2 linked regions of the Lytechinus pictus genome follow. The protein of the gene in region 2 purifies or fractionates together with the protein of the main gene of each other region. This does not show direct contact. Links are inferred from orthologs where the notes say so. Each region holds a gene or a part of one and is shown on either strand. Other genes may lie near its edges.

Region 1 (7,350 bases), on a different chromosome or scaffold from region 2:
AACAATTCCACTTTGGTCTGGTAATAAATTCGCCGCTAATCGAAATCACCTTTTTATGTCATGAAGATCAACCAAATTGATCTTTATTAATTATTTAATCGATCTAGGGGTGAACTTTGGTGGACAGAAAAGGAGAACGGGGTCTAAGATGCCCCGAAACATTGGGCGTGCATCGACATACGTTATAATCCGATTAGTTAACTTCGTATGGGCTCGTAATAAATTCGCCAAAAATCAAAATCAGCCCATATCTCTTGTGACTCCATAATTTATGATATATCTTTATCCATTCATTTGGCGATTTAAGGTTGAAAAATAATGCACCAAAAAGGGAGACGGTGTGTAGGAAGCCCGTAAACTGAAGGCAGTGTATATTGACATATCCGATTAGTTTAATTTCTGTAGGCCTGGAATCGTATTCAATTCGCCAAAAATCGAAATAAACTTTATATCTCTTTTAAACTCAACAAACTTGAACTTTATTAATCTCTGCATCTTATATAGGGGTGAACAGTGATTTATAGAAAAGAGGGATGGGTTTAAAGGTCAAGTCCACCTCAATAAAATGTTGATTTGAATCAAAAGAGAAAAATCAGACAAGCATAATGCTGAAAATTTTCATCTAAACCGGATGTAAAATGAGAAAGTTATGACATTTTAAATTTTCGCTTATTTTATACAAAATAGTACAAATTAGTCACATGCTAATGAGAGAATCGATGATGTCCCTCACTCACTATTTCTTTTGTTTTTTGTTTTTGTTTGAATTATGCAATATTTCAATTTTTACAGATTTGACAATAATAAGGACCAACTCGACTGAAACATATAATGTTAAACAGTGGTAATTCCACATGTTCAGTGAGAAATGAAACTTTGTTTCACAGGACAATGAGGAGAAAATTAGATTATTTCATATTTCTTATAATTAAATACAAAAGAAAAAGTGAGTGATGTCATCAGTTCTCTCAATTGCACACCGACCGGGATGTGCATATAACTATTATGTGAAAATAAGCAAAACTTTAAAATTTCATAGCTTTCTTCTTTTACATCCGATTTTGATCAAAATTTCAGTGTTATATGTTCAATAGGATTTTCCTGTTTTCAAATCAACTTTTTATTGGGGTGGACTAATTGTCCTTTAAGATACCCCGAAAGTGAGGTCAAATAAGTGGGGCGTACTTTGCTTCGCCGGATTTTATTTTCAAGTTTTTAGACACATTCAACTCTTTTTTAAGATGCTTTATTCTTGGCGATAAAACTGGTGATTTGCAGTTTATATTTCAACATTGCTTCAAGTGGCCATGTGGCAGATCCAGGATTTTGTCACATCTTCCTGAAAATTCAACAGCGAAAAAACAGGTCCTTACCATTTAAACATTATATACTCTGTCTTTTAAGGTGAGTGCACAAGTTTTCATTATACTTCTCAAAAATGGAACCGGCCGGATGTTCTCGATCCCCCTTTTAAGATCCATCAGTGATATCAACAAACATGGAGACACAGACAATATTTACGTAATCATGAATAATTGTATAGACTTACATGTAGAAATGCACACAAAATACAACGTTCGGATTAATTCGAATTATATTCAGGTTTTTGTAAAAAAAAATACTTAAATAAGATGTAAAATCAACCAAGAAAACTTAATATGTTTGAATATATATGATTGGAAGAGTTATGGCAAGATAAAAGATGCAGGATGCATGATGAAGTAAAATATAATCTATTTTAGACATTTGAGAGAGAGAAGGAAAGCGAGGAACAAAAGATAAAAAGGGGAGAGAGGGAAGAGATAGAGAATGAGGATAGAAGATATCCACTATCATATAGCATTTATTTCCAAGCGAGACATATGAAATTGGTATAACATGAATGAAAATAACTGTACATGTATATTATATAAAAGTACGGTAAAGATAGATAGATGAACGGTATTTACCATGATAACGTTCAATTCGCAGCCAATTAAAGCTGAATAAGATAGATTTGCACATGCGGAGTAAAATGGCAGTATAAAAACAAATAGTAAAACAATATCAACAAAAACAACGTATATCAATGCATAATATAAGGAAAGGGATGCAAAGATAAATGCATACAAAGGAAGAAAGAATTAAGGGAATTAGAGATCAAGCACTGACTGTGAAGAATTACATTTTATACGGAAAGTTTCCTTCGTTTCACTCCTAATTATTTGTTATTTCGTGTTAAGAAAGGTACCATTTCATACAATCCGCTCTTAACATAGTGAAAAATAACACGGATATGTTATTCTTTCAGTATTGCCCAAAATCATATATAATCATGTTAAAAATATTACTTGTGTTAAAATGCTTTAACTTGAGGCTACTCATATTCCAACAATTCCACTTTGGTTAAATTCGCCGCTAATCGAAATCACCTTTTTATGTCTTGAAAATCAACCAAATTGATCTTAATTAATCATTTCATCGATTTAAGGGGAACAGTGGTGCATAGAAAAGGGGGACGGGGTCTACGATGGCCCGAAAGGTGGGGGTGCATTAATATTGACGAAAATACGGCGCCTGCTATTATGGCGTGCTATATGTCCGTGTATATTCCAACAATTCCACTTTGGTCTGGTAATAAATTCGCCGCTAATCGAAATCACCATTTTATGTCTTAAAAATCACCCAAATTGATCTTTATTAATCACTTCATCGATTTAGGGGTGAACATTGGTGCACAGAAAAGAGAGACGGGGTCTACGATTCCCCGAAAGGTAGGGGGTGCATGGACGAAAATATAGCGCGTGCTATGTATTATATCCGTGTATCCCAACAATTCCACTTTAGTCTGGTAATAAATTCGCCGCTAATCGAAATCACCTTTTTATGTCTTGATAATCAACCAAATTGATTTTTATTAATCACATCATCGATCTAGGGGTGAACATTGGTGCACAGAAAAGGGGGACGGTGTCTACGATGCCCCGAAAGGAGGGGGTGCATTGACGAAAATACGGCGTCTGCTATTATGGCGTGCTATATTATGTACGTGTATTCCAACAATTCCACTTTGGTCTGGTAATAAATTCGCCGCTAATCAAAATCACCTTTTTATGTCTTGATTTGACGAAGTACGCCCTCTAGCGTTATTAGTATACATCTCTATGGCTGGCTTGCTTCAATCAACGAATTGTTAATTAACTAGGGCCCATTTCTCAACACATGGACAAGTTAGTCATATCTTTATCCACCAACCACGGAGTTAGTTCCAATCTTACTAAACATGTTTCTCGAAAGGTTTCCTAACTAGAATACCTTGATATCGATACTATCGGTAGAACGAGCAGACGAGACGTAGCCTTAGTCACAAAATAGCATAATATTAAAAAAGAAAAATTATTACAAAATTGCAAATATTGTGATAAATTGGGAAATAAATCTTTTCAAAATAATAGCACAGGTGAATTATGCATCATACATACTTAGACCATGAAGACTTGAGCATTCAATTGCAGAGAAAATTAAATTATGAATAATTCATTTCATGACTAAAAAATCACTTGTGGACGTTGAGATTGGGTACCCCCGGGATATCCAATTTTAATAGTTTACGAAAGTAAACCATAACGGTTTTCTTTGTAAAATGATGATAATTATGCGGTCTTTTACGATTCCGAACGTCATCAAAATATAGTTTAACGAAACATTTTTAACCATTGATACCGAAACATACGATATTTGACAAATTATATGCATAAATTAGAGATTAGAATTTATCCAACTGTTAATAGGGGTCTGAAAACAACAAATACGAGTTCAGTTATGGATGGCCTGACGTGGTAGAATATTTATCGATTAAATCATTTTACTATTTCAAAATGAATGGTTTTGTGGCGTTTTACCAATAGTTTTTATAGTTTCTTTGTATTACAATTATCATTGAATGCATTAACCCACTTGTTTTGTGATGTAATTTCAACCTCTATGATTGATTACGTAAGATTATAATTTTAAAATTTATATGCGCTTTTGCATGTCATAGTCTACCCACGTGATGCCACTACGTCATTAAGAAAGAAGTTATGACAGGTTCGGAGGTGTCATAAATATTTAGTGAGGTTGTTGTACCCGATCTTGGTAAAGAGGGCTTCGTGAAACGGTTAGCGGACAAGTAGCTCACTATCTCCGATTTAGTCAAGAAGTTAGACTTATGACGGTGTTGAGAAACGGGCCCCAGTGTCTGTACTGTAGCTGTGCGCAGCTGGGTTTGTGCGCTGGCGCTGGCTTCAGCTAGCCTGGCATGCGTGAAACACGGATCTTGAAGTTCGGATTGTAAATCAACCCAGGAATCCAACTGAGATTTTTTAGCTTGTCTAAATCGATTTAAAGATGTCACAGCCATACAGTTCATCAGGGTTTTGTGAGTGTAAATCTTCTTCTTGAAATATTTATATTTTGAATGTTCACGACTATTTCCCGCAAAATAAGCGCAATTATGTCACCGTTGCTTTTCATGAAAATGAAAAATCACAGTCCCATACATTGAATACCTTGTATTATGATTTATGTTAGACCAAAAGCTTCGGTCTCTGTTATTGTTAATATGTTGGTTGTTCAGCTGAACTCCGTTGGCTTCACTCACCAAATACAGAGACCGAAGTTCTAGCGCGATCTGTACAGGGGACTCAATGGCCATATGTTTATGTACTTAAGATTGGATAAAACGGGGAAGTGAATTTACGCGACAGCTGAGGTAAGTCTGTTTTTGTTCCTTTTAACTTGATTTTTCTCAGTTTTTTGGCAATTAATGCCAAGAGGGAATATTAATTTGCATTTTGGTCGCGTTAATTTTCAAAAACTTTATTCATATTTAAAGACAAGAATTGAAGAGCCCAGACGGGGGGATTTTGCATTGCAAGTCCCCTAATGGTGGCTGCACGCTAGCTAACCTAGCCAGGCGGCTTCTAGAGAGTAAAAATCATTTACTAACGTAAGGTCACTCTCATGAAGCCAGGGCTTCCGTCATATACTTTTGTGTGTACCACCAAAAAACCTGAAACTTTCGCCCCCGAGATTTCTACTTTCTTTCTAAAAGATCTAGCCCTAAATCATGTACATGGGATAAAACTTCATTTCCGACATTTCTACGCTCTCGTTTTTATTTTTGAACAAGAATTCATCAAAAAAATGAGAGAAATATTGTGTAAAGACGGAAGAGACTTGCCCAATGTTTACGCCGCCATCTTGTTTCCTATTGTTCTTCGCCAACGTTACAGACGCGTGACACAATATTTCTCTCATTTTTTTGATGAATTCTTGTTCAAAAATAACAACGAGAGCGTAGAAATGTCGGAAATGAAGTTTTATCCCATGTACATGATTTAGGGCTAGATCTTTTAGAAATAAAAGTAGAAATCTCGGGGGCGAAAGTTTCAGGTTTTTTGGTGGTACACACAAAAGTATATGACGGAAGCCCTGGCTTCATGAGAGTGACCTTACGTTAGTAAATGATTTTTACTCTCTAGAAGCCGCCTGGCTAAGCTAACCCAGAGAGCTCCCGCCCGCGCAGCGGGCGGGAGCCCAGAAGCTTACCGTGTATTTTACCATTGTCACCGGACTAGGGTGATTTACGGTCTAAATATTTCTCCAAATGAATTGTGAAAACAGAAAGTATACAATTACCACGATTATATGGATGAAGGTCTAACGAGTGGCAGATTCCTGACATCTGGGCACAGTCTGGAACCTAAAAAAAACGAAAAGTTCTCTCCTTCTACCCCGTCTCGATCGGCCATTTTTGTTAAAAATCGTAACAAAATGGCCGAGTTTTTTGGTGGTACACACAAAAGTATATGACGGAAGCCCTGGCTTCATGAGAGTGACCTTACGTTAGTAAATGATTTTTACTCTCTAGAAGCCGCCTGGCTAAGCTAACCCAGAGAGCCGGTAAGCTTCTAAGCTTCTGAGCCGGTAAGCTTCTGAGCCGGTAAGCTTCTAGGCCGGTAAGCTTCTGGGCTCCCGCCCGCTGCGCGGGCGGGAGCTCTCTGGGTTACACGCTAGCGAGCCGTCTGTGTATGAGGAGAAATAAAAAAAATAAAAAAATGTTAAAAAACTCCTCGAAACAGACGGCTGCCAGCTGTCTAGATTTATGTAGGCCCTAGTCATGCTAGTACGGTAAATTCCTCACACCCACTCTAGACTAGGCACCATGCCTATCAATTCCTGTGTTAAAATAGTGAGTGCACGCGAATCAGAAGTTGGACTTAAATTACTAGATATTACCATGGAGCTCTATGACGAAATCTATTTTTAAATTAGACCCTAGATACTACTTATGGAAAATAATGTATAAATAGTACTCGCCTGGTCTTTTCTTCACTCTAAGCACCAAGGCTATTAATTCCTGTGTTAAAAAAATGAGTGCACGCGAATTAAATGTTGGACTTAAATTACTAGATCTTACCATGGAGCTCCATGACGAAATCTATTCTTAAATTAGACTCTAGATATTACTAAATTGAAAAAAATGTATAAATAGTACTCGCCTGGTCTTTTCTTGGGGTATTGAAGCCTTTTTGTCCAGAACTTGCTCAACTTTTGCGGCAAATTTTGTCGCCATAGGGTTGTGCACATTCTGGTTTAATACTGGTTGTCACGTGACACGGCAATGTCGTTAGGCTGTTTGGCCTGTATTCAAGGCGTTCTATCCGTTATGATTTTATATTGAATGAAGCAATTTCCATCAGGTATAGGCCCCTATCAAGTCAAAATAAATTAAGAGGCTTTTATAGGAGGAAATTATAATTTGTTAACAAATTTTCGGCATTACTCCTATTTCAAGGCTCCACATTAACTTTTTTTGGTGGTGGCCCGTTCGGGCCACCAAAACCATCAAATAATTTTTTTTGGTGGCCCGATATTAAAGTTTGGTGGCCCGAAAAATATAAAGAAAAACATTAAAAATGAATAAAACAAACTTCTGAAATATTAATTCTGCAGCCACTACCACTAAGTTACTTTCACTTTATACATCTTGTATGTAAACCTTGCTTGCTGTTATTTTACTTTGCTAGTTGATAATTGTTTCTATCGTTGTAAAAATGAAATGATTGAAAGTGAATAAATGAATTGTATTGTTCGCAGGTTGTGTGGACTTTTTTTAAATCTCTGTGTAGAGATAATGGTAAAGTAAATAAATAGTGCATAGCAAACTCAGATAGCTGTACAAAACAATGGTTTTTCCTTTCTTCCTCTTTGAATCCTAAAACCTAGATTATGCATGCCCCAAATCCAGTTTATTTCTGTTTTCTCTTTTGCAATTTGCAGCATATTATAGAAGGCGAAAATCACAGAAAAATATGCTGCAAAATT
Region 2 (7,589 bases):
CTACATGTAAGCATTAAAAAATAATCAGTGCAGCTTTTATCTGCTTAACTGATGTATGAAATGAGTGGACGTCTGAGAATATTTCATGATGCACCTATCATCAAGTTTCACTGATAACTGTTTACACTTTTGAAATCCTGGCATCTTGAGCAGTTTGCAGACTTTGCAAAGCCTTGGTTGACAAAATGTGCTATAGTGTTTAAAAGACTACATAGATGGGGATCGTGTACATGTACTATAGCTTCTGCAAACTTAGAGTGACACAGATGCTCAATTAAAAATAATAATTAACTAGTAATGGTCATAATTGAATATTCTTGCCCCACATTATGCATCAATTTGTTTTTGATTTATCTCTTTCTGTTATGATTTCTAAAATTTTGCTAGATCTTCCTGAAGATCTACTTGTTGATAGAAGCATTAATCAGTGTGTCTGGACCTGCACTTCTGGGGACTGTTTCATAAAACAATTAGTCTAGGATTTACACTGAAAAATGATACAAGCTACTGAAATCACTGTATCTGATTGGCTTTGAATACACCTACTGTACAAGTAAAAACAAAATAAAAGACAAAATGAAAGACTTCGCTGATAACTCATTAAAACAAAATGGCTCTTTACTCACATATTCAAACCTGTCCTTGGAAAGTTGGGCAAAACCATGAAGGAAAGCTAGAATAGCGAACCATCCAACCCAGAGAACCAACTCCTCTAGAGTCTGAACATTGAGTACACCAAACACCACAATGAGCTTGTAGAAAGAGAAGTTCCACAACTTGTCTCGAAGATGCTAGAAAGAAATATGCAAGGTACAACATTATAAAAGGACAATAGATAATGTTGAAAACAATAAAGGGCACATATTTGGTAAACAAGAAATAGATTTGACGCTAGTGAACAACCATGACCAGTACTTACTCATTCAATTTTCTCAGGTATGTCCCAGGAATGACCAAGATATTTCCAAGAGCCAACCTTACTATCAACCCTTTCATCCACTTTGAATTTATCAATCAATCAATCATGGCAAACTAGTCCTGTCCCATTTCATAAAACTTTTTATAATTACAAATATGCAATAACAGTAATATACGTAAGCTATTGAAATCATTAAATTTGATTGGTTGATGGTAAACTTGTTAGTCTTTATGAAATGGGAAACAGTGCCCCATTGCAGAAAAGCTATCAATCATTATGGTAACTATGCCATCCAGTGGTAACTTGCATGGAATCCTTGATTGGCTGTTGATCAGTGTTACCATGGTAGTTACCATTGGATGGCACAGTTATCAAAATAGAAACTTTTATGCAACAGGGCCCAGATCAAACAAAATCATTTTGATGGTATCTTATGATGTGCAGTGCTTAGTACTTATTAAAAAGCCTGATATAATCCCAAAACTGACCATTACCGTAATTGAAATTTGGGCTACACAGGGATGGCACAAACATGTAAATGTAGGCTTGATAAACAAAGTCTGAACATCATCCAGAATAGTCCAGGATAGAAGGGGTCGAACCTTGTTTTTTTATATATACAATGTTTTTTTATGGTTTCTTGTCAATTAGAGGGTGCTGATTCCGAATCTGAATGATGCCACTCGTGTAACCTTGAGCATTTTCTGCAAATTGGCAAAATCCAATATGGCCGCTAAAATATCCAAATTACCCATGAAAATCATAAAATTGTCCACACATTGGCTATAAAGTACATGCAATTGTGCTGCCGGAGTGAAATAATATCTGAAAAAATTATTTTTGTCAAAATATTTATTTTCTTGATATCAAAATGGCCGCCATCATAGACCCCTGTACAACATGAATGGGGAAAATTAATTTTTACAAACTTGAGCAATGAAAATGCAAGTAATTATAATCTATGAGTGAAGCAATGTCTGAAAACATGATTGCTAACGATATATATCATTTTTTATGTCAGTTATGTGATAAATCCTGTATTTTGATATTCAAAATGGCCTCCAAAAGCCCTAACACTATTATGTACAATGTGAATGGTGACAAAAAAATCACAAGAGTGAGCACTAAAATGCATTTTGTTAAGATAAACGAGTGGAATACTGACTAAAAACATTATTAACGAAATTTATTATTTAACATGCCATGTATGTGATAAACCCTGTATATTGATATTTAATATGGCCGCCAAAGGCCCTAGAATTATGATCTACGATGTGAGAGAGGACAAAAACAATCACAATGTGAGCACTAAAACGCATTTTTTTGTGGTAAATTAGTGGGATACTGTCTTCAAATATAATTTGCAACGAAATATATTATTAAGGGTATCATATTTGTGTTAAATATTGCATTTTCACTTTCAAAATGGCCACCAAAAGACATTGACTGTATTATGTACAATCGATCTGGGAAACCAATTTTCACAGGAGTCAGCACCATAACATGCATATAATTGTGATTTAAGAGTAAAATATTGTCTGAAAACATAATTTTTAACAAGATATATCATTCATTCTGCCAGGTAGGTGATAAATAATGTATTTTGAAAGTCAAAATGGCCGCTACAGGCCCTAACGGTAGGCCTATTATGTACTTTGTGAATGGGAACATATAATTTTAACAGAATTTGGCTTTGCTTGACTAAAATGGTGTTGCATGTATGGATGAAATATTGTCTGAAAATACGATTTCTAACCAAATAGATAATTTCTTATGTTATTTAGGTGATAAATGCTATATTTAAAATTCAAAATGGCTGCAATATGTTTTTTTTGTGTGGAAATTATCTTTCCCCATTCAAATTTTACATATTAAGATAAGGGACTATCGGGCGGCCATTTTTCATTTTTAAAAGGCAGCATTCATCACCTTTATGACACAAGCTATGATATATTTCGTTAGAAATCATTGGGTTTAGACAATACTTAACACTTTTATCAAAATTAAGCCATTTTCGTAGTAAAAATTCTGTCAAAATTAGCTGTCCCCAGTTACAATGTACATACTACTTTTGGCTATTGCATCAATTTTGAATTTTAAAGTAAGGCCTTTATTACCTTCTTAACCATTATGTGATGTATTTAGTCAGAAATCATGTTCAAGACCAAATTTTACCTATACATCACATAGTTACGTGCGTTTTTTGTTCTCATTCTGGTGATTATTAGTTTCCCTATACGCATGTTACAGAATTTATAATGGCTTGTGCGGCCGTTTTGAAAGTCAAAATACAGTATTTATCACCTATATGGGAGAGGAAATGTTATATTTAATAAAAAAAAAATCAAGTTTTCATACAATATTTTCCTTATACAACAGAATTATATGGATTTCATAGTCAGGCAAATCCTAATTCTTCCAAAAGTATTTGTCCCCATTTATTTACATTGTAGATAATACTGTAAGGGCCCATAGGGGCCATTTTGAATTTTACAATACAGCATTTATCTCATACATGAAAAAGGAAATGATATGTTTCGCTAGAAAACATGTTTTGAGACAATATTTCACTCGTAGATTACAATTACATTCATTTTACTGTTTTTAATCTTGTGAAAATTAGTTTCTTCATTCGCTTTGTTCATAATACAGATAGGGCCTATGGCAGCCATTTTGAATGTAAAAATGCAGCATAATTACCGAAATTGCAAGGGAAATGATATGTTTCGTTAGAAATCCTTGTTGTCAGAAAGTGTTTCACCAATATTTCGCAGTTATTGGCATTTTAAAGTCAAACAAATTCAAAGGTTGTGAAAATTATTTGTCCCCTTTTATAATGGGTCTATGACAGTCATTTTGAATATCATAATACAGCATTAATCACATTAGATAGTATACAAATGACATAGTTTTGTTAAAAGTCATGTTTTCAGACAGTAGTCCACTCGCAGGTCACAATCACATGCAATAATAGTGCTCATGTTAAAAAAAAAAATTCCCCATTCATATTCTACATAATAAGGTATACAGGGGTTATGGCGGCCATTTTGAATATCAATAAAATAAATATTTTATCAAATATCGCTTTTACAACGGGTATTTCACTTCTGCACAACAACTACATGCATTTTATAGCTAATGTGTGGGCAATTCTATGATTTTCATGGGTAATTTGCATTTTTTGGCGGCCATATTGGATTTTGCCAATTTGCGGAAAATGCTCAAGGTTACAAGAGTGGCATCATTCATATTCGGAATCAGCACCCTCGAATTGACAAGAAACCATAAAAAAACATTGTATATCTAAAAAAACAAGGTTCGACCCTGTCATGACATGTTGAAGTATATGTGTATTTTTAAATTGTGCGCTTGCGCGTGTCCTTGTACGTAGACTAGTTAGAACAACACGATCGAGTTCGTAAAATCACAGCAGTTTGCTTCATTCAATTGATCACAAGATTTCCTTAGTTTTCACGCTTTATGCTATGCAAGGTATGTTGAGATTTGCTCAAAAACTTTTGTAGATTTAATGAGAATGTGTAGTTTATTAATATCTTTGTATTCCTCTTTTAAATACCTTGTTGAAGAGATTTAGGTTTAGATTATACTTTGAAAATCCATCACACTTTCCAACGAAGGACCTTGCGTATCTTGAATACACGCAGAAGTTCTCTGCGGTCGATATCTTCAAAATGTTGTCTTGTGACACGCAATTCTTAAGATGTACTCATGATTATGACTCTACGAATTTAGAGTATTTTCTTAAATCCAAGTTTATAGGATTTATTGTTGTTTAACATATTTACAAGCCAGTTTAGTTATGCACTATTTTTCCTACTCATTTGATGTGGTATGGTCACAAACTTACGTGCGAGTTGGCTCGCGGATTGATATTTCCAGGAATTTTGGTGTGATCCGCCGCCCGGAGTTTACACGTGTTATAGCAGGGTTTCATGACGTTATTGTTTATCTTTCAGTAGTGATAGTTAATGTTGTCTTACAGTTAATTCTTGTTACTTAGAACTGATGTCTTTAAAATTACATTGCTTACACAAAATTCGTGAAATAATAATTCAATCACCACTAATATTGATAATTGTTTTTCAAGTGAATTTTATTGATTCAGAAGGGAAACAAAACAATAGGAATTTTCTGTTACAGTTTTAGAGATTTAACTGATTAAATCTATACCTTGTTATTTTGAAGACAAATATATTTTTCACAGATGTTTGTTGCTAGATAATTATGATATCTTATCATATAGGGTAGATTTGTTGGAATTGGGAAACAATGATATTAAGACTGAATTAGGAAAGTTTCATTAATTCTCTCTTATTACTTTCAGTTAAATTCTACCTTTGACAGCAAAATGGTTAAAGGGCATGATTGATTATTCCTTATGTCTTTAATGAATATTTTGGGAAAGAATGATGATACATGTACAGAAATGCTTTCTTTACTAAGATATGTTTATCCTTTATTGTTTATTTACAGGAATCTCACACAGTTGTTGAATAACTGAACACTACAATGTTATTAGACATAATCTAATAAATGGGAGCATATAGTTCACAGACGCCTTCCTTGTAGTTCATTGCAACAACGTGTCAGAACTTACGAATTCGTGACATCTTCAACAACTATAGTGTATATCAACCTGCTTCAACTTACATCATGGCTGACGTCAACAAGTTGAAGCTATCAAGACGAAACATCAAGGGTCAGTTGACGCGAACATTATCGACAATTGACAGCCTTACAACAGATGCCGTTGGTGATCTAGACATGTTAAAGAAATACATCACTAAAGCTGAGCAACAATTTGAGAAAGTGGAAGAGAAACATTCGGCGCTGATGGATATCATCGAAGATCAGAGAGAGTATGAGGTGGAGGAGAAATGGATGGGAGAATGTGAAAATGAGTACGTCCAGGTGTTAATACGGGGAAGGAGGGTCGTCGACCGTCAGTCTCAATCTCCCCTGGACAATCAACAGTTTCTCCCCTCTTCACCTACAATTCCACATCCAAGATCCAGTCCAGCTTCATATGCGCCATCTCCTATGCCCCACACCGCTACGTCGGCTGCTCCAAGAATGGCAAGAATGAGATTCCCAACTTTCAATGGGAACCTTCGAGACTACAAGCGTTTCAAAGAATTGTTCACCCACTGTGCAACAGAGTTAACAGAGATGGAATGCTTCCATCAACTGACCGAATCAATGATTAATGTCAAAGAACGCGACAAAATCAAAGGGTGCATTAGTGTTGAACGAGCCTGGCAAGTACTTGATGAGTGTTACGGCGATCAGGACAAAGTAGTAGACAGCCTACTAAAAGATCTAGAGAACCTGAGGACATACGAGATCAAAGGCAAAACAAACCTCCCCGCCATGGGTCATTTTGTCCAGACTCTTCAAAACTTCGAAACCCAAGCTGAGACCATTGGCCTATCTGGAGAGCTTAACAGTAAGATCATGTTGAGTCAGATTAAGCAGAAGCTCCCAGAGGAACACCGCATCGCATATTATAAAGGTGTTAGAGATGACAGGATTGATGATTCCCTCACCGGTCTGGTCAAGTGGTTATACAGCCAACTTTTGCTGCTCGAGAAGGCGAAGCCTAACAGTGGGGACAATTCGCCTAGCCCTCCACAAAGACAACATAAGGTGTATAAGTCTACAAGCGCTGCTTCATATACTTCTGATAACCAGAGCCAACCAAGCAAGGCCAGACACTCCGGGGTCGCCAAGTGTGCCATCCACCCCAATGCAGACTCGCACTACTTGAAGACTTGCAACAAGTTCAAGAGCCTGCCACAGAATGAGAAATATAAAGTAATGAGAAAGAATGGTATCTGTTACCGATGTGGGCATAACAACTGTGTTGCTGGCAAGCCTCCACATGACCAAAACTCTTGTCAGTTTGTTGCTCCATGCAGAGTCCAAACGTGTGGCAGTGACTCACACTTCGCAGCTGTCTGCCCTGTCATATACGGAGAGAGTGGTCAAGGTCCTGCAAACCAAACACGCAACACTATGGAATCTCCACGTTCAACCTCAATCAACGTGACAACAGCCCACACCAACGAGACAGGGAAGCTTCAAAGCACTTTACCTACTGTTGTTGGTTATCTACGATGTGGCGATGTCCGGCACCTGGTGCGCATCCTGTTGGATGGTGGTAGCCAAGCTACACTGTTAAGGGAAGGGATTCTTCCAAGGACAGAGAGAGGCCTTTTCCAGGACCATGATCTGAGTCTTGTTGGTGGCAGCAAGATAACAAGGAAATTGAGACTGTTGGACTGCTACATTGAAGATATTGCAGGGAATTGGTCATGTCCTTTAACCATGACAGAGATAAATCAACCCTGCGGTGATACTCCTATTGTACTACCAGAACAGCTTCGGCAGTATGAGCATCTGAGCGCCATTGATATCCATGCTGCCCCATCCGAAACCATCGACGTACTCCTTGGTGTGGACAACACACACTTGATGATCTGGGAAGAATACATCCTTGGCGAAAAGTTTGATGATCCTGTCGCTGTAAGATGCCCCTTTGGCTGGTTTGTTCAAGGAGGACGGTCTACAAATTCAACTTCACTGCTGAACTACATCAATGTGTCAGCCATTGGACCATTGGAAGAGTTCATAGGTCTGGAGACTGTGG

Evidence for each region. The genes of interacting proteins can lie anywhere in the genome.
Region 1: the proteins of E3 ubiquitin-protein ligase AMFR-like (region 2) and ubiquitin-associated domain-containing protein 2-like purify together in Homo sapiens (affinity purification with western blotting; 4 studies listed by BioGRID and IntAct, with this or other methods). This does not show direct contact. The link is inferred for Lytechinus pictus from reciprocal best matches to the Homo sapiens genes AMFR and UBAC2.

The regions. Positions count from the first base shown.
Region 1 is NC_087260.1:29,144,865-29,152,214, forward strand, and holds the start of ubiquitin-associated domain-containing protein 2-like, read left to right. Parts: upstream 1-4,279; 5' UTR 4,280-4,368; coding exon 4,369-4,405; intron 4,406-7,350. UniProt on the Homo sapiens protein: Restricts trafficking of FAF2 from the endoplasmic reticulum to lipid droplets.
Region 2 is NC_087246.1:24,895,997-24,903,585, reverse strand, and holds the start of E3 ubiquitin-protein ligase AMFR-like, read right to left. Parts: upstream 3,049-7,589; coding exon 3,037-3,048; intron 792-3,036; coding exon 627-791; intron 1-626. Other genes in the region: uncharacterized protein LOC135157617, read left to right, coding at 5,594-7,589. UniProt on the Homo sapiens protein: E3 ubiquitin-protein ligase that mediates the polyubiquitination of lysine and cysteine residues on target proteins, such as CD3D, CYP3A4, CFTR, INSIG1, SOAT2/ACAT2 and APOB for proteasomal degradation.